Caenorhabditis elegans: one gene and its partner. The protein of the gene in region 1 interacts with the protein of each later gene in a pairwise test. Each region holds a gene or a part of one and is shown in the gene's direction. Other genes may lie near its edges. The genes, in order: spig-10 and arrd-7.

The links.
Region 2: the proteins of spig-10 (region 1) and arrd-7 interact in a two-hybrid assay, tested with the Caenorhabditis elegans proteins (one large-scale study listed by BioGRID).

Annotation. Positions count from the first base shown.
Region 1 is NC_003283.11:7,001,540-7,010,778, forward strand, and holds spig-10 (Inhibitor_I29 domain-containing protein), read left to right. Parts: upstream 1-4,724; 5' UTR 4,725-4,801; coding exon 4,802-4,865; intron 4,866-4,908; coding exon 4,909-5,174; 3' UTR 5,175-5,279; downstream 5,280-9,239. Other genes in the region: srab-4 (Serpentine Receptor, class AB (Class A-like)), read left to right, coding at 2,612-2,817, 3,356-3,785, 3,831-4,091, 4,139-4,228; drd-10 (dietary restriction down regulated), read left to right, coding at 6,073-6,243, 6,294-6,347, 6,482-6,685; C33G8.2 (Cylicin-2), read left to right, coding at 8,444-8,638, 8,688-8,741, 8,967-9,143.
Region 2 is NC_003280.10:12,057,321-12,068,472, reverse strand, and holds arrd-7 (Arrestin C-terminal-like domain-containing protein), read left to right. Parts: upstream 1-5,851; 5' UTR 5,852-5,853; coding exon 5,854-6,029; intron 6,030-6,218; coding exon 6,219-6,324; intron 6,325-6,375; coding exon 6,376-6,538; intron 6,539-6,586; coding exon 6,587-6,696; intron 6,697-7,348; coding exon 7,349-7,763; intron 7,764-7,807; coding exon 7,808-7,992; intron 7,993-8,043; coding exon 8,044-8,148; 3' UTR 8,149-8,241; downstream 8,242-11,152. Other genes in the region: Y17G7B.22 (C2H2-type domain-containing protein), read right to left, coding at 305-370; arrd-8 (Arrestin C-terminal-like domain-containing protein), read right to left, coding at 905-1,438, 1,507-1,613, 2,183-2,348, 2,394-2,499, 3,207-3,388; nadk-2 (NAD kinase 2, mitochondrial), read right to left, coding at 8,703-8,914, 9,759-10,132, 11,039-11,152.

The DNA of each region.
Region 1 (9,239 bases):
CATGACCCGCTCATAAATCAATGGACTTTCTGATCTGGTATATTGCTCACTGTCTCTGTTTAAAAAACAATGTCTAGTGTTATACCGTGAGAGAAGCCACAAAATAAGCTTCTTCAAAAAAAACAACGATGAGCACAATGTCAATATTTACGTTTTGTTGCAAAACAAAATGAAGATAACGGCAGACAGAATGGTCCTACACAGCCACTAAGTCCATGGATGAGTGATGAATGAACTTTTGGCAAAGGATTAGTGCTTGCTCACAAAGTTTACTACTTTTTTCAAAGAAAGATATGCAACAGAATGTGGAATCGTCATTTTTTTCTGAACAATACTCGAAGTTTAATATTCAAATCGTGCATTTTGCAATAATTCTACTGAATTAAACATTTGCCGTTGTAGCGTAGATCATCGCAAATCAGTTGTTTTTCAATTACGTCTGAAAAGTAGAAACTTCCTTTTCTACGAACCTGGTGATCAGGAATGCCCTGGTTTTCTGCTCAACACCTTCAGGTACATGTAAACTGATGCTTCATTTGTTTTCCGTGTAAAGTTTTTGTAGGTGTTAGGTTTCATTCCATGTGATCTTTTGAAACCATTTGGTAAACCCCCAAACAAATGTGTTTTAGTCTTTTCAATTGTATGCTAACATTTTTTTCGAAATGCTTTTAGGCTGGTAGCTCCATTCAATATTTTCCTAATCCTCTGTAAAAAAGAAAGAGAAGAATAGTTTTTTGTAATTGAAAATGTAAGTTTGCCACCTAGTTCTGCAAAATTTTTGATGATTTCTAACTTTTCTTTAGCATTTTTCAAACACAAAATAATCACTTCCTAAAAATGGAAAAATGCTGGAGCTTCAAATAATTATCTATTGACCTTTTTTTCAAGTTTATTTTTTTAGGCTTTGTTTTTCTTTATTTGTTTCAAAATTTTTTTTTTGTTTTTTAGTAATTTTTAGATTTTTAAAGTAACAGTATTAATTAATTTTCAACTATTTTCAACTATTATGTACAAAAACAAGATTTTTGATGAACAGGCTTTTTGATACTCCCAGCATATAATTAATTAAATTCAAAAAACAAATCACGCTATCATTTCCAACTCATCAGATATGAAAAAATGTTTTCTCAATACCGCAGTCTATTAAAAAAAAACGCCTGCCTACCTCACTAGGAAACCAACTACGCGTACCATGGGACCTGAAAATGTGAGCTTAACATCTAACTTAACTTTTTTCCGAAAACTTAAAAGAAACTTGCGGATTTTGGTACTATTAATTGGTGACTATTTTTAAATAATATGTATTATTATTTAGCATGAATTTTCAAATAGCAATAGTATGATTTAACCCAAAATCTAGAATTTCAATGTTATTTTCAGCTGATTAAATTTCGATTTTTTTTAAATCGATTTTTATATTGGGAATCGTGATGCATTTTCATAAAATTGTTAAATTTCAGAAATTTAGTCATGGATAATAATAATTTATAGGTATCGCACACGAACCAATCCCCCGTGTTCAGTTTTTTTGATTATCAGTTGTTCTGATTTCTCTCCGTTCCATTTGTTTGCTCACATTCGAAAAAGCATTCACTCACGCCAAAACGTCAATTTGGGAGGGTTGAAAATGAGGAAAAACAGATATCTCGAATGTGGCTGTTTTCTTTTTTTTTCTTTTGAAAATGTTTCCGCTCCTCTTTTTCTCGTGACCTTTTGATCCATGTTTCTCAAAGGAGAAATTTCGAATTAGCCATCTCTATCTCATAGATGATTTTCGAAACAAGGGGACAACCAAATGTGCGGCTATGTATAACATTGCTGAAGCTGCTCATTTAAAATTCCGCGTGGCAAGTACTAGAAAAGCACTCAACTTCATCTTCTTATTTTTGTTTCTTTTTAAATTTTCTAGCACCCGTCCTGTTTCCGTTTCCAACCCACACGTGACACCACTTTTTGGTCTTCACATATTGTTTGAGATCTTCCCCCGGAAACCAGTCGCATCTAGTAGCAATTGGACTCTGTGCAAACCCGAGAGTTCAGTATTTCTTACTCGTTTCCTTTCTATTGTCCTCTCTTTTACCTTCAAGAAGGTTTTCATTCCACAGCACTCCCACACATGGATATCTATTCTTCTTTCTACATCTCTACGTGAGCATCGCCAATTCCCAAAGTCCCAAAAGTGTACAAATTGGACGTTGATTAGTGGAAATCATACGACTAACGGCTCATGAAAATTCTCTATTTAGTGTCTCACTTTTCAACTATACAAGTTGATTTTTAATTTCTAAAAAATATTGTTTCCGATATATTATTTTTATTTTTGTTCTCTTTCTATGTACAAGTATCAGCATGTTAAACTAGACTCACAAATTGCTCAAAAGAACTAGGTGCAAAATGAAAGCATATATGCTGGAATAATTTTGTTATTCTCAATTACCTAGTCTACTTTACCTTGAAAAAGATATTTTCGGCCAAGTTCCGTTTCTTTTTCCATAAATAAAAGTTTGAAAACCTGGTATCTAATTAAGAATTTGATGGTAGTCTATCAATTTTGTCCTTCAATTTCCATTTTCTTCTATCAAATTTTCCACTCAAGAATTAATGTTTCAGAATGTCGGACTGCGAGCAGATGACAGATATGACCACATCTTTGTGGCTCCGGCTATCCCTTTTTGTGAATCTCGGCATCACGATAATCTCGTTTCCAGTTCTGTTAACTGCTTTACACTATATAAATTCTCAGCAACTGTTTCATCGGAATACAAGGATTCAGATTAAAGTTCACATATTTGCATTGTTGGTTCATTCCACAGGAAGGTGAGTTGTTTTTTGAATTCGTTTGGGAAATAATTGAGATGTTAAATTCTGTCCTGAAAAATTGTTTCTAATTAATGAATTTTAAAATTAATGAAATACTGTAATATTACTTTTTTTTCATATTTCAGTTTAAAAATCTAGGGGACAGTTTTACGCGTTACGCTAATGGTGCGAACAAAAATGTTCGGCGTTCGAAAATGATTTTTTTTTAATGTGGTAATAATCTAGGATATCCTTTTTCAGTTTTATCGTTTCAAATTATCTTTGTGCAAAAAAAGCCAGCACGTGAGACACCAATAATGGTTGCCACATTTTGAACCTCCCAAAATTATTTTTGTCACTCTTCCATTTTTCATAATGATACGCTAGAATGGCAAAAAGAAGTTAGTAGCAATTTGGAGTTAGTCAGTTAAATTATTGTTTTCTAGTATTTGGGCACGTGTTCGAATTTATTAAAAAACGACAGTTTGTTATTTAGGGACTACAAATATTTATATTTCTATATGGATAAACAGTTTAATTTGGTTTTTTTTTTCAGATTTGCTCTTCATTCCCTGGACCTCATAAACTATTTTTCAAATACTGGTTGTGATGCTCTACCCGATTTCTATCGATGTCTTGTTGTTCGAGGACTTTATAACTTTGGAATGGCGCTTGCAGCAATGTGCTCAACAAGTCTTGTCATCGAACGAGCAATAGCACTTCACTATAACTCGACTTATGAAATGTGTGGAAGAGGATTCGGTGTTCTTCTAGGATTTCTTCAACTTTTCCTCGCATTTGCATTCTTGTTTAAACTCTACTTTGATGCCTCATTTACACCAGTCCCAAATGTTACTCTTTATTATTGTCAGACTCTAGCTTCCGGTCACGGATCCGTCTGGACAATTAATGCTCCACTATATGCAGTTATGATTGCTCAGTGTGTATGTAGATTGGCGTTTTGGTACATCGGAGTGCAAACTAAAGTAAGTATCTTTGACATTGAAGAATCAAATAAAATCAGTTTTCAGAGGAAGAGAAACACCCAGAAACTACAAACACTGAGCACTCGGTATACTTTGGAGCAAGGAATTCGATCTATAAAAGCACTGAATATGTTCATTAACGCCAATTGTTTCGTATTTTTCTTTTTCTCGTTTATTGGAACTTCATTACATTTTAATTCGAGTAAAATGAGCAGACCAACGTACTTTGCTCTCGTGGAAGTGATTCATTTTATTCCAACTTATGGAATTCTACTTTCAATTTACATTTATTTTTCTTTGAAAAAGGTAAATCAATTCTAGTTAGAAAGTAATGTTAATCTTAAATTTTTCAGCTTGACTCAAAGCAAAAGACATCACTCACAAAAAGCATGCAGATGGATCCGAGTCGTTATCTGATCGAATTCAAAAAACAAATTGGTTAAGCCACGTACATATTTTATTTTATTTTATTTTTGTTCTGTGAACATTTTCATTACCAATGTATTGTGATAAATGAAGACTAAAAGGTCTTCCTAATTTTTTTTGGAGAACATTTTTTTTCTTACTTTTTCTGTAGTTGTTGCAACAGGAGTATTCAAAGCAATTTGTTTAATTAACCTAAAATTAATTAGATGATAAATGTTGCCAGAAACCCGGAAGTGCAACTTGGAAAATATTATTCAAAATCTGGAACTTGACAATTGTAATAAATTGAAATCACGATGCACTAAACAAATTTGTTACTTAATCTAAAGTAAAAGTTATTTTGATACACAAGGTCCTGAGAGATTTTAAATCACGTTTCCAACATCAAACTTTTCACACACTACGAGTTCGAAGAGTTCGATCTTTGAAATGATCACTACCAATAAAAAATAATTCAACTTAAAAACTAGTTCGGATCAAATCAAACACATACCATCATCAAATATAACCCTCATATCGTCAGATTATCCTTTTCATTCTCCTTCATTCTACCATTTCTACCATTTCTACCATTTCTGTTTAACCGGACAATGTGCCGATTTCTCGTCGCCCTCCTTTTTACGGCAATTTCTGTCTATGCAGGAGCTCCAACAGGTTTGTTGCATTCAGTTTTAGATCTAAAAATAAAATAATTCAGCCGAGGAAGCAAAAGCTGAAGTAGTTGCCGCCGGTGTCTCTGAGGCCGCCGCTGATGGAATTTTAAAGATTGCGGAGACCTACAAGGGCCAATTCGAGGCAGCAAAAGGTGATCGGGAAGCTGGAAAGAATGTTTTTCACACATTCCACGCAGAGGTTGATAAGTACATGGAAACACAATCGGAAGACGACCAGATTGCTTACAAGGCATTTGTTGATAAGAAGAAGGCCGAGCTTCAAAAACGTAACAGTACACCAAAGGCTTAGATAATCATGGAAGATCTATATTTGGTTAATAATCTGCTGAGAAAGTATTTGTCATTTATATGTCTTCTAAAATTAATTATTTGGATAAAGTACTACATATTCAGATTTATATGAAGATAGAGAACCAGGGAGTTTTGTATAATGGTAAAAAATGGCTTGAGTCGAATATTTAGAATTTAAATCTCGAAGCCTTTGCCCAAGGTTTTAAGACTTCTCCCATCACAAATTCAAGCAAAAAGCCCTTCTTACAAAAATAGTTTTTTTTAATATTAAGTGAAAGTTTATGAAACATCTCCACCTCGGGAATGCGGACAGGCGTTTCAAGCTTATTTTTATTTTAGTTTATGATTTAATTTTGTTCAAGCCTTGCATACACCAAATAATGAAACGCAAAAGCGAGAGAAATTTTAATTTTTTAAAGCGCAAATCAATATAGCAGTGGACATTTGTAAGCGCATTCGGAAGCAGCACTTCCGAAGTGGTTCAGAAAAAGGGTTTTAGGACTTTTCGCTTGCTATATCAGTTTGTTTCTTCACGATTTTTAAATAAGTGAATAAATTTTCAAAAAACAAATAACTTCGCATAAAGATGAATATAATTATTTATTCGGATGTCACAAGATTATTCAGAATTAAAAAATGTAACGGAAACAAACGTTCAATACGCTCCCAGTGGTGTTACAGGCTGAAGATTTTGATTTAGTTTCTTGATCTCCTACTTTTGTTCATATTTTTCTATCAAGTTTGTGTCTTGTGCAGTTCATTTGAAAAACACGAAATTTTTTCTGATCGAGATCTCAAAATTGATATCGATGGCGAACAATTTCGGTTCATGCCTTCGGCCCGGTCATCCTATAAAAGAGTCTGATAGAACCAAAATATAATAAGAAAGTTTAAACATGAGAACACTTCCTATTCTTCTTCTTGTCATAGTCGGCGTTGTCTACTGTTATCCATTGAACGAGGACAATGTCGATTTGGAATCGGATGTTGCCGAGATGGAGGGAGCTGAGTTGGACAGAGTGAAGAGAGCAAGTGATCATAAACTTGAGAAGAAGTTGGATGAAATCGTGAGTTACTACCATATTTGATGGTAACTAATGAAAATTCAAAATTTCAGATGGAAAAGGTCGAGAAGATCAAGGACAAGATTGAAGAGAATAAGGAAAAACGTGTAAGTAATTAAAGCGTATTAAAGTTGACTTGGTTTGCTTAAAAATATTTTATAAAAAATTGTATAACACATGAAATTTATGTTTTATATTAATAGTATGTTTTAAACTCATCTTTATTTATTTTTAATTTCAGGAGAAGAAGAATAAGAAGAAGGGAAACAAGAAGGACGAGGACGAGGAGGAGGAAGAGGATAAGGATAAGAAGAAGAAGGACAAGAAGAAGAATAAGGATAGTGAAGAGGAAGAGGACAAGAAAAAGGATAAAAAGAAGAAGAATGATAGCAGCGATGAATCCGAAGAGGAAAACAAGAAGAGAAAGAACAAGAGAAAAAACTGAACAGCTTTACTTTTCATGTGAATAGTAGTTTCTTGTATTATCATTTCGACATCAATAATAAACCTTTGAAATTCTACAAACTTAAATTTATGTAGTAATTTCACGGAATTCGATATTTTAATTTGAATCAATAGATTTGATTTGTAGATGTGCACATTTTTGAGAGGCAAACAATTAAAATTAAATCATTATTTTTCTTTAAAAAAACAGTTAGCAAAGTCAGATTCAATTACTTCTGAAAATGGAGGAAAGGCCAGACTTTGGATCGAACATTAAAAAAAAAACAAAGTACTTTTGGAGTTTTCATTTTTTCATCGCTCTTTAATTTATGTTTTGATAAATTATCCGTTGCGGAACTGAAAAGTTGCCAAAATTTGCGTAGTGAAAATAGGTATTTTTCCACAACTTTGAACCACCATGACTTTTTAGATCAAGAAATGTTCAGAGCGTCTCACTACGAAATTCGGTAATTCTGGCCTGCTTTAGGTCTCAAAACGCAACGTCTAAGATTGCTGTATTCCACCTTAGAAAGTTTTAAAAAATTGAAAAATATGGTGAAACACAACTGCTCAGAACAATATTTAACTGAAAAAAACCTGTTTTGTAAAGTTAAGGTAAAAAAAAACGATCTAAAATTATCCCTTTTATACAATACAGAGCCCGATCTATTTTCTGTCTTGTGCTGCTTATAAAAAAATTCACGACAGTTGCTTCTTGTCATTATATTTTTCAAAACTATCTTCTAGTTGACGCTCAAGAAATCATGGACCTTGAAACCTTGTGTTCTCGGTCAGCTCTAGACTCTCTGTCCAATCCACACTCTTTAAATTTTTTTTTTTGAAAAAGCATTCGTAAAGTATCGGTGGAGTTCAAAAGGTTGAACTATTCGATTCTTGGTTCAAAGTTGTTTTATCGATGTGATTGACAGCTCGAGACCACATAAATAGCACCAGAGAATAACCAAAAATTCAGTTGATCCAAGATTTTTGAATCCGAAAATTTTTCAGAAAAATCATTTTTAGTTTCCGTTTTAATTCAATATTATGTTTCTCTCCGATATTTTTTCGCTAATGAAAATAAATAAATAACAGATTTTTATTAGTATTGCACCTCAAACATTGTTGAAAATTTAAACCTGCATTATCTATTGGTGTTGCACTCAGGTTCAGTTGCGAGAGCCACTTCTATAACACAGTTTTTAAATCTCATTTTTGATGATTGTTTTCAAATTATCGAAAAAAATAATTTTCACATTGTATTTTTGATACAACAATCGATAATTAACTGTTTACATACACATAACCTATTTTGTAAAATTAAAAAAAAAAACTTACAATTAGAACATTAGTCATGTGGTCATTTCAATTTTTAAAAAATACTGTAGATAGCGATGAACAAAAATATCAACATTACCAATTTGACAAAAAAAGTCATTAATGCTGTTTCATTGTAAACTTGAATGGAAATTTCCTTTCGATTTTTGACTCATAATAATTCAGATTCAAAAGAAATGCATGAATGATTCATTTTCGATTCATTTCATTTCAAGTGGGTTTGAAATTTTGTCGAACTTCATATCAAAAATCTGTTTTGTAAAGTTCTTCATCTCCTGTCTTGTGTCTTCTGTCCCGACTTTGTCAAATGAAAAGAAAACTTTTTTCAACATCAAAATCTCTAGTTCGATATCATCTTTATCAATTCGTGATCTTTCTCCACTATAAAAGTAACTATCCATTTTTTGGGAGGTATTCTTCTAACATGCGGACATTACCTATACTTATCCTTGCCATTATTGGCGTTGCCTACTGTTATCCGGTTGATCAGGATTCTTTAAATGCAGAAGTTGAAACTAAAACTGATCTTGTCAAGATGGGAAGTGATTCCGATTCTGATTCCGATTCACAGAGAGTGAAGAGAAGTGGACAGGGATTGGAAAAAGCTGTTGAAAAAATTGTAAGTTTTTTCGGTGTTTTTGTGAGTTATTATAAGTTTTTCGTTTTAGATTGAGAAAGTAGAAGATATCAAAAACAAGATCCAGGAACACAGAGAAAATCGGGTAAGTTCAGATGATCTCTAAATATCTCTAGATATTGTTTTGTTTGAGAATAAAAAACAGAGAATATAGAAAACTTTCTGAAAACAAATCTTTACAGATGAGGCACGGTGAAAGGGGAAGGGTATGAATTTAAAAACTAAACTTATAGCATTCATAAAGCCATAACAAACGCTAATAACCTGCTATAACACTTTCCTTACTCATCAATATGGTTTTTTTCTTCAGGGAAGACACGGACACCATGGAAGACATGGAATGGGAAGACATGGAGGACATGGAAGACGAAACAAAAGTGGTTCTGATTCGGATTCGTCGGATTCTTCAGAAGATAAAAAGAAGAGAAAGCAGATGAGGGATAAGAAGAAGCAGGAGGAAGAAGATAAGAAGAAGGAGGAGGAGGAGGTGAGTTATCTGATTGGAATGGCATTTGCAGTAGCAAATCAGGAATCATGTAAATGTTAGAATTCAGTGGAAAACACTTGAGGATACTAGTCATCT
Region 2 (11,152 bases), on another chromosome or scaffold:
GGAATAAGTATTCTTGAAAAACTAAATAAAGAAATTCTTTCTTCAAAAGCTAAATATGTTAACCTCATTTCCATTTTCCGAAATAGTCTATTTGTTGGATTTGTATTATTATGTTTTGCTAAGCCATACCAAAAAAACTATACAAGGCACGTACGAAATACTCCAAAAAAATTAATTTAAAATATAATCCTTCAAAGGAATTTTTTTTACTTCTTGGAATATTTACTCATGCCCGTTTCTAAAACGTTACACACGCCAGATAATTTTTCTCGTCTTTTGTAATATTTAACCTCAAAAAACTTACCCGAAGTAATTCTTGAAGCTCAGCAATTTTCTTCTCAATTTCGTCTTTAGTCAACTTTGATGACATCATTCTAAAGAAATTAATTCAATCCCCAACAGAAGGCAACAGATTTTTTAAAGTTAAATTTCTCAAAAAGGACATCTGAAAAGTTGTTTCAAATTAGTCTTAATAAGAAGCGTGCAGCTAATGCTTTTCAAAAAAATTTATAATACAGTTGCATTAAAATTTGGATTTGTCTGAAAGTATTCGAAACAAAATTGTTTTATACAAGTTATCACTTAGGACAAATAAAATGCTTTTTTTTTATTCTAAAATTGGAAATACTGAGCACTCAAATTCAAATTCATTCATTGCATTAAACGTTTCAAAACGGAAAATACATTACTATGAAATACTTAAAGCAATCGATGAACTACGGGAGACGTTGTGCGAGAAGCGGATGTACGCAGAGACATAGAGAACAAAAGAATGCACATGCACATCTGCTCACTTAGCAGTCATGAAGCAAATCCGCCGGCACTACACTGATGTAATTAAACCGGCAAATTAAAAATTTAATTTACTGAAAATGAGAATTCGATATACACACACGAAAAAATGTTAAAAATGTTCTTCATTTTCATATTCCGGCGGTGGAGCACTTGCCTGAGAATCTTCTACAATTTGACTGAAGTTTTCATATTTAGGAGGAGCTTCCGTAATAGAATAGGCAATTGGTCTTGTGAATACTCCAATGGGAATTGTTCCAACAGTAATCGGAAGTTCACATCTCAATTTCTTATTCTCTCCGATATCCACAATAATACAATAGTCTACTTCAATAATTCCTGTTCGAAAACTAGGAACCAACTGATTCGGCAGAACAAGTGGCACATTTATTTGGCTATTTGAGCAAAATTCCACGTGACAACTCTTCTCAACTTTCGACATTGTGGTTTGAGCAGTTTTATGCTCACAATGTTTATGACAATGTTCTTCTGGAAATAGATGAGAATTCTCTTGTTGAGCCTGATAATGCACGTGCTGCTCCAATTTTGCTTTTATAGAATATATAGGCTTCTTCGTGTGATTTTGAATTAGAGCAGATACTTGGATGGTCTCTCCTGGGATGTATCCGGATTTTGGGATGGAGATCTGTAAATATTAATTTGTTAATTGAGTCATTATTTGTTATTAGCATGAAATAAAAAAAATTATGTTACCTTAACTTTAACCTCTTTGTTAGAAAATAATCCAGAATGCTTGCAAGAAGATACGATCATTGGATTGATTGTTTTTGGAATGGAGTTTAAATCGATAACCGGAATCACTGAAATATTCGAAATTAAATTTTAAATGTGATTTGCTTTTATAGATAAATTGCTAATGATTTCAAGCTTCAGTTTAGCCCAGACGGGGTTAAAATCAGGGCTCAGCGGCAAACGATTTTTCCGGCAAAATTAGCGAATTGGCAATTACCGAAATTGAAAATTTCCGGCAAATATAGCAAATTGACAATTTGCCCAATTTGCCGGAAAATCTGTATTTGCCGATAGTTGTGAGTTTTTCTGGAACTTTCAGAATTTCAGTTTTAAACGAAAAAATTGTACACATCCGATGAATAGCCTTACATCTATTTTTAAAAGTCAGTGAATTCTATGAGAATATCGTTAAAAAACGGGGGAAAATTTCAAAAAGGCACAGTTTCAAGTTTCCGTCTTCTCCGGCAAATTGTTATCCGGCAAACGGCAGATCGGCAATTGGCCGAAATTTAAAATTTCCGGCAAAAAAAGACAATTTGCGGATTTGCGAGATATTATATTTTGACACAAAAAATATTCACATTAAATCATGATTTCTTTTCTTTTTCAGGTCGTATCAAAATCGTTTCCAACTCACCAGAAAACACCCTCTTCGCTTCAACATTCATCCTCCATGGCCTATCTAATTCCACGTGTACCGAATATCGAACATTTCCATGCGTCCCTTCAAAACTCGGTGGTAGATTTGCAGGAAGTTGGAAGAGAAACGGAAATATGTTCACACCGCCAGGGATTTTATTGTTCTAAATGTGGTGTGTAAATATTAAAGTGTATTCAAATTTACTAACCGCGTTTTCAATGGAACTCCATGGCTGGGCGATTCCTTCCAAGACGTTTATCTTGCTAGTATAGTTGATATGTTCAGAGCTACGATACCATCGACCATGTCGGTCACTGAAAAGAAATATGGTGGTTAAAATCAGGGGAGCGCGGCAAATTTCAAAAAACTGGTTCAGCCGAATTCGCCGCGCTCGGCAAATTTTGAAATTTGCCGCACACATCACAAATAGGCTTTTTTTTCAAATTTGGCCAAAACTGTTGATTTTGTTCAAAAAATTATAGTAAAATAACATGAAGTTGAGTTCAAAGTTGTGCTAAAAATTCAGTAGTTTTGGCGCTTCTAGAAATATCAAAATGTTCTCATTTTTCGGAGTTTGCCCAGCACGGCAAGATTGCCCAATTTGCCCAATTAGCCAAGCTCGGCAAATTTTGAATGTACCTTTAAATAGTGGATAATCTGATTACTGTTTTGGAAAGGAGAGAGATGAATATCTGGCGGAAGTATTTAAATTTTGTATGTACCATAAAACGAGCGGCAATAATAATTTCATATATTTTTTAACGAAGCTTCTATTGGCGATTTTAGTTGTATTTTCATGTCATCAGAACTTATAAATTAGTAAGTAATCTTCCTCTACGTCACTTTCATTTCAGAACCTTACATATTGGCTCACTTCAAATGCCTAACCCCAAATTGAGAAATTCAGATTTTTCTGGAAAAACAACTCTGGCCGAAAACTTGAATTTTCTGAGAAATTTTTTTACTGAAACTCGTTTTTCTTGACTATTTTTTGAAATTTTAAATAGTCCCCAAAACTCACTATCTCCCTTTATTCTCAAATTTCCTCCACAACGTTTCAATATCTCCATGGATGCAAATTTTCAGAGCCAGTGCATTTAAAGCATTTCGATTTCTGATTGTTAGCTTCCCTGCTACATTCTGTCCAGGGGAGTATACAGCGGCAGGATGGTCGAATTCAATGAGAAATGTGGTGTCTCCCATTTTTTGTAAGTCTGACATGAAATTATACTATATTACAGCTTTACATCCAATATTTTTCTTTACAATTAGTTGATATAAATAAGTTCCGAATAAAAACTAGAAAAAAAATCTTAAAAAAGAAACAACTCAGTTCATTCCATTCTCTTATCAACTAATAACTTTTATTTATAAAACATGCACCATGTTTACGTCATGTTTTCTTGCCGGAAAATTGATAAAGTCTGAAAACGTGCAAAAACGTCATAGACAACGTACTTCATTGGTCTTTTTTTTCTTTTCAGTGCAAACTTTGAGCATGAATCAGAACAATATACTATTTATGGGTTATTTGTGTATTTATACTTTATGCGATGACGTGGTTCTTCACAAGTTTTTAATGTTAACATGGTTATTAAATATAAATCGGTGTGCTTTTTTTAAAAATTCGCTATGAATTGGAATTTATCGATTATATATTATTAAAGTTATTAAAGATAGTGTATTGTTAACGGGGTTTTGATTTAAGATACCCTGAAAAATCTAATTTTGGCTAAAATTTTGATATTCCATTTTTATTTTGAATTCGCTCCAAATTCAGAAGGCAAAATATATTTTAAAAAACTAACCAAAAAATTTACAGTCAATAGTTTTTTTGTTTAAATTGCTTTGGTTATGTTCGTGCAAAAAAAAAGTGTCCTGACTATAAAAATAGCAAATTTTCCGTACTTTCAAATGAATGTATGACCGTCTTTGTAGCTACGAAATTCATTTCAAAAAACCCGAAAAATGTTTTTTTTCAATTCCACCACCATAAAAAAAAGTTTGGAAATTATATTAGGTTCGCTATGTTTAATTGTGAGTAGAAAAAAAGTTTCCTGACTTGAAATATAGCAAATTTTTTTCTCTTTGAGAAAAATGATTTGTCGCGTTTAAACGCGACAAAACATAGTTCATAGTTGGCCAAAATGTTTTTTTGTAAGCTTAATAAATTCCTCTAATTATTTGAAACAGTTCCTACAAAACCGTTTTCATTTATTTTATATTTTAGAGCAAAAAAGTACGGCATATAACTTCTAGCTGGAGATTTAGGAGAAATTCAAATAGGAATTTTAGGAAAAAATTAAAAGCCTCCTTCCTCAAATTTTTTTTCAAATTTTTAGTTATTTTTGTTACTCAATTTCAACTCTAACTTCAAGATATTCTTCAAAATATGAGTTTTAAATTTTTATTTAGTTCTGGATTTTTTATGATTTTTTTTTCATTTTTCAAAGAAGAAAATGTATTGCATTCTAAATATTTTTACAGGAAAATTGAAAATTTTTCGCCGATTGCCATGTTACGTATTGGATTTTTTGTCGTTTTTTTCCAATTAAAAAAAAATAATTTTAGAGAAAAAAAAAACGAAAAATCAAAAGAGAATCAACTATGTGTAATTTTTTGACAAACTTTGCAAAAGTTTAGAAAAATTCTATAATTATTTTAACAATCTTAATTATAATAATAAATCATATTAATAATAATAAATTTTAACAATTTAACGGTCAATTTTTTAAATTTTAGAACAAAATTCCCCGAATCCGTTGATAAATTTCTTAAAATAAATTGAAAAATTAAATTCCTACATTTTGATCTATTCCATCCCATTTTACTACTTGTTTTTATGATTTTGGTCTCTAACACATTAAATACCATCCCAACATACAATATTTGTTCTTCCCCCCTCCTAGGTCTCTCAAAACAAATACTATCTAGGTGTCCAAAATGCATGCACATTTTGGAAAATTTCGCAAACCTAGTGACGGAATTTTCACCGTTTTTTGTTAGTCACCAAATAAGCTGGCTCTACTGATAAGTGCTATCATTGAATTTAATGTATTCTTGAGAGCAGTTTCATAATTATTTCAGTGTGCTGGAAACAACTTTTTGATTGTGATTTTATATTTCAGAATCGATATGATTTTCTGTTGATTTTTTTGTAATTTTTAATGTTTAAAGTTAGATTATTACGTCGAAAACATAAGCTTTGAAAAATTCCAGAAAAATTGGTATTATAAACTTTTGTTCAGGAGTTTTTAGCCAAAAATAATTAAATGTTTTCGCTACGAATTTTCAGTCTAAACTTACTAGTAAAGTTCTTCCAAAAACATTTTCAGCCAAAATTTTATAGCAAAGAATAATTCAGTCAAACCAGAAAATATTATTCTATACAAAATGCGCTATAAATATTTTCCACCTAGAAAATTTAATCAAAAATTTACAGACCAAAAATATTGCGATAAGCATTTTTATGCCAGGTTTCCAAGCCAATTTATTCAGTTTGATCTTGCTAGGCGAAAATTCAAAAAAAATTTTTAGCCCTCTAAAAACTTCAAAATGTTCAGCTTGAAAATTTCAGTCAAAATTATAATTTTGAAATTCTACGCATTTTTAAAAAATTCTCATACTATTAATTATGTCAGCTAATAATAATTAGAATATTACCAGAAATGGACGACTTGCGAATTGAGTACGACGCTCCGAACGATGTATACTTCCCAGGACAGGCTGTCACCGGAAAAGTAATCATACAGAATCGTGAATGGATCAAAGCGAGGTTTCTGAAAATTTGCATTCACGGAGGTGCACATACGCATTGGAGTGAAAGTCGCAGCACATATAGGACGTGAGTTTTATTTTTTGAATTTCTGATTTCAGCACTTTTTACTTGCTTCCCTTAATAGTCGTTTACCTAAAGACCATAATTCAATAAATAGTCACTAATCGGAAAAATACGATAGCTTGTCTTTTTTTTACTAGACTGCTTACCTGTAAAATAAACCCTTTGAACATCAAAAAACAAAATGCCTTTCAGAAACACACGTGGAGAAAGGGAACGATTCACGGAGAATGTGAACTATAACGCGACTATCAACTATTTGACCGGAGAATCGATTGCATGGCAGTCGAGAGATGGAACTGTGAGTTATTGGTTAAGCTGTCTTCACGCTTTCAACAAACTCTTGTTTCAGGACCGTCTTCCAGCTGGCACCAATGTCTTCCCATTTGCTTTTAACCTCCCCATCAATTGTGCGCCAAGTTTTGAAGGCTGTCACGGACATATTCGATACGATGTCCACGTGGAATTAGACAGACCATGGAAGTTTAATAAAAAGTCGAGGAAATGCTTTTCGGGTATATTCGTTTAATAACTTTGGGTTGAATCGAAAAATGTCGTTTCAGTGATTCCGGTGTTCGATTTGAACATAACTCCAACTGCAATAAACCCGATGGTGAATACTGCATCGAAGAATACTGGACTGATACTCAAAAAGGGATTAGTTACAATTACGGTAAGGGATTATCGAATTAAATTGAAGATAGGTAATGTGGTAGAAATGTTAATAATTTTTTTCACAGTTTTTTGTCTACTACTATAAATTAGCTACTAACTCAAAAACATCATAAAATAAAATAAAAACAACCTTTGTACGCTTCTCTTTATCAATTTGCAATAAAGCACCATTGACAAAATCTTATCATCACAAAACTTTTGGAGTACAAGTTTTTCATTATTGTGAATCCGATTTCAATACTTTTTGCTCACCAAATTACACAGAAATTGTCATAACCAAAAATTTAGAGGGTGGCATATAGAACTTGCACGCACTGTATATACTGACATTAATAAAAGAGTGTAGCTCTAAATACATCAATAATGGTGAAGAAATAATATTGAAACATACTAAATTGTTCAAAATGTAAAAAAGGGGTTATTTGAACACTAACAGATGGAATGCAAAGTTCAAATAGTAATCACTGACGCTTTATTCATGATGTATCATTAATGATTTGCTACTTAATTTTCATATTTGATAAAACCCAAAAAAAACACTTCCAACAAGTTTTCCTTGAAAGAATATAATACTTATTCTTCATCCTATAATCTACGTCTGAACTTTAAATGATATAACAGTTGAATACCATTATAGTATGAATCTTCAGGTAAACCTCCCAAAACGCGGCTACGTCGCCGGAGAAATCATGCCAATCACCGTAAACATCGATAACGGCTCAAAGGTTGCCGTCTCAGAAGTTAGCGCAAAAATGACACAGCTCTCGCATTTCCACGCAAGTCACGGCAACATGATCGGCGTCACAGCCCATACTCATAATCGTAACGACGAAAAGTTGGTTGCCGAATCGAGAAGAGTAGCTGATGTTCCAGCGAAATCCCGTGGGCAAATGGTTCTTTCGATGAAGATTCCAGCGATTGTTCCGTCTTTTAATTGTCCGATTATCGCCGTGGATTATTGTCTAACCGTTAAAGTTTCAACTCAACAGATTTTCGGAGGTGGCTTGAAATGTGAATTCCCATTGATCATTGGAACAATCCCAATTCGACAGATGAATCAAGCAGGCAATTTTTTTTTGAATTTTAATGGTATATCCTCTATCTTCCAGCTCCTGGAGCAATGCCAACTATGCCATCGGTCTCCGCTCCTCCATATCCTGTAGTCGCCGGAGCATCTGCGTCTCAAGCAGTCTACCCGACTGCTCCATCGGCCCCGCCAGCGTCTCCCGGAGGAGAAGCTCCTCCAAGCTATGAAGAGTCTGTACACGGAGCTGGGAAAGTTGAGGATGCAGAGGTAAGCTTCAAGCTTGAAATTCTCAGCAAAATGCTCACGGAAAACTTGCAGGCCTTCGCTCCTCGCTACCCAGTCTACAACAACTTGCCACAACAGCAAAATTCTCAACTTCCACCAGAATACGCACCTCCACTGCCAGCAAAAAGTGGATTTTAATTTATTTTAAATCGGTGGCCGAATTTACTGGTTTTTCTCGGCCATGTTCCGCAGTTTTGTTCCGACTTTTCAGATGATAATAAAAAAACGCTCCATTTTTTTGTGGACAATTTCCGAAAAATTTCCGAAAATATACAGAAAAAAATAATTTCAGGTTTTTTTAACCTCGCGAATTTTTAACGGTGATCACGCGGTTCTGGCTTCCCTCATCTTTTGAAATGGAAGAGTTTGCCGAACTAGGCCATTTTGGCTTGGCAATATCTGGGGTAGATTTACGGCGCGTTGCGTGTCGCGTCGCGGCTGGTTTTAGCTGTAAATTGTTTGATCGTGGCGAGACCCACTCTGAAAAATACCATGTGCCTTTAAGTACGAAATTTGGGGAAAAACGTTAAATCAATTTTTGCCAACATAAATTTGAATTTCGCGCCTAAAATTTTTTTAAACATGAAAAAACCAACAAAAAATCAATTAAATTTATTGAGGTCGTCATCATTATCCAAGCACATAATACTATACAAAATTTATAATTTAAATTCGAACAAAAAAAAGGTAATTTATCGGAATACAACCGTACGCAACGTATCCTCATCCCGAACCTCCATCACCGCCTCGGATCCATCGTTAAATCGATACGAGATGCCTCCGTCAATGACCAAATGAGCATCGTAACCGCGGCTCTTGATGCAAATTTTATCGGCGAATCCCCGTGGATCGGTTGGTGGGAACGTCGCGTTGAAGATCGGATCACGGACTGAGAATGCGAGTTCTGAAAAATTAGAGAAAAATTGATTTTGAAAAAAATTTAAATTTTAAGCAAGGAAATCTGTTTTTCGGAATTTTCCTTCTTTTTTTTTTGGAAAATCCACCTAATTTTTCGCCTTAAAAATTAGGGATTTTTTTTTCGAAAAAATACAATTAAAGAAGTCGAGAAAATTTCGAAAAATCTACATTTTTTCCAGATTCTTAATGCTAGGTTTTGAGAGAATTTTTTTTTTAATTCCAAAAACATTTTTTTTGGAAATTTTCAGGATTTTTTTTCGATTTTCCTTGAAAAATAATTTAGTTTTGTTTATATTTCTTTATTTTTAGGCTTTTTTTTTTGGAAAAAATACCAAATTGTCCATGTTTATCCAAAAAATTGTGGAAATTATTTAGAATAACTAAAACTTTCAAATTTTGGAATTTTTAATTTTGGAAAGAAATCTGAATTTTAAATCTAGGTTTTGAGAATTTTTTAAAAAATTCAACAAAAAAATTAATTTCCAATTAAATAATTTTTCCAAAAAAAAAAGTTTTTTAGAAAATTATATGAAAAATTTCTAAAACTTCAAATAGTTTCGTTTAAAAAAAATTGAAAACTCGGATAATTTACAAAAAATCTTGAATTTTTATTGTAAATCTTTTTTAAAAAACAAGAAAAAATTTAAGAAATTCTGGAAACTTTTTTTTTTTTTTTGAAAAAAAAAACTGAAGTTTTTTTCAATCCAAGAGCAAGAAAAATCCAGAATTTTTATGATTTTCCGAGGAAAAAATATCCAGAAATTTTTGATTGAAAAAAACTAAAAATTGAAATTTTTGAGTTGAAATTTAAAAAAAGTATAATCCCTTACGTTTGCGATCAGGATCAAAAATCAATTGTTGATTAAATTTCGTGCAAATCTCGCTAACAGCATTCTTATCCCCATGCGGGATCTGTGGCAGATTACAGTGCTCCGCAACAATTTTCATCAAATCCTGAACGCATTGCTCGGTGAGCTTATTGATATTGAAATTCCACGACGTGGAGCCCGTTCCTGTACAAATCGTGATTCCCGAACTCTTTTGTTTGAGCATTTGAGCATCGTTAATTCCAATTTCATAATATGACACACGTGATGATAGACTTTCACCAATGAATACTTCGTTGAGTGCAAGAACCGGTAGTTCTACTGTCTCTTTTTCCACTTCTGGAATTTCGACGGCTTCTGAGATCATTCGTTTTTTGCTGAAAATTCGGAGATTCTTTTTTCAAACTATATTATATTTTAATTTCCGCGCAAATGAATTTTTAAAAAACATTTTCGCGTTTTCCGAAGCATTTTTTTATTATTTTCAGACATTTTAAAGGTTCTATCGGAATTAATTTTTAAACTAATACTTTTAATTTTTTTAATTTGAAAATGTATCAGATGTTTTTGAAAAAAATTTATTTAGCTTTTTTTGTAAATTTGATTTTTCTTTGCAAATAGGTAATCTGTACATTTTTCTGAAAATTCGAAAATAGTTTTTTATTTAAAAAAATTGAAAAAAGGTTTTTCCGATTTTTTTTATTAATTGAATTTTTTAATTAAAAAAATTAGGTTTTCACTAATTTTTGAATAAAAAATTTCCATAAACTAAAAAAAAAGGTTTTCTAATTTTTTAATTTTTTTTTTGATTTTCAAACTTTTAAAAATAAAAATAAAAGGTTTTTCCTATTTTAAATTAAAAATTTTGAATTAATTAAAACAAGGTAATTTCCTAATTTTTATATTCAAAAAAAATTTCAAAACTTGAACAAATTTAATTTTTTAATTTTGAATTTAAAAAAACAGTTTCCTTTATTTTTTGAAATAAAAAATAAAGAAAAAATATGAAAATAATGTAATTTCTAAATTTTTTAAATTTAAAACAATTGTTAAAATGCCAAAAAAGTTGGTTTTCCTAATTTTTTTTCAATTAAAAAATTTTTAAATTAAAAAAGGTGTTTTCCTAATTTTTATTTATTTTTTCAAACTGTACGTTTTAAAATATTTTTTTCTATTTTTTTAAACAAAAAAACAAACTTTTTTCCGTTTTTTTTCGAAATAAAAAAAATTAAAGAATACTTTTTCAATTTTCGCAATAATTTTAATATACTCCACCAACTCACACAGGTGGCGATAGTGACATGCATTCCTCAATTTCACGTGCAGGACTACGTGGATTGTCTGTCCAGCGGGTCGTTGCCGGATCTCTGTTCAGTTGCTGATCGTGCAATTCGATA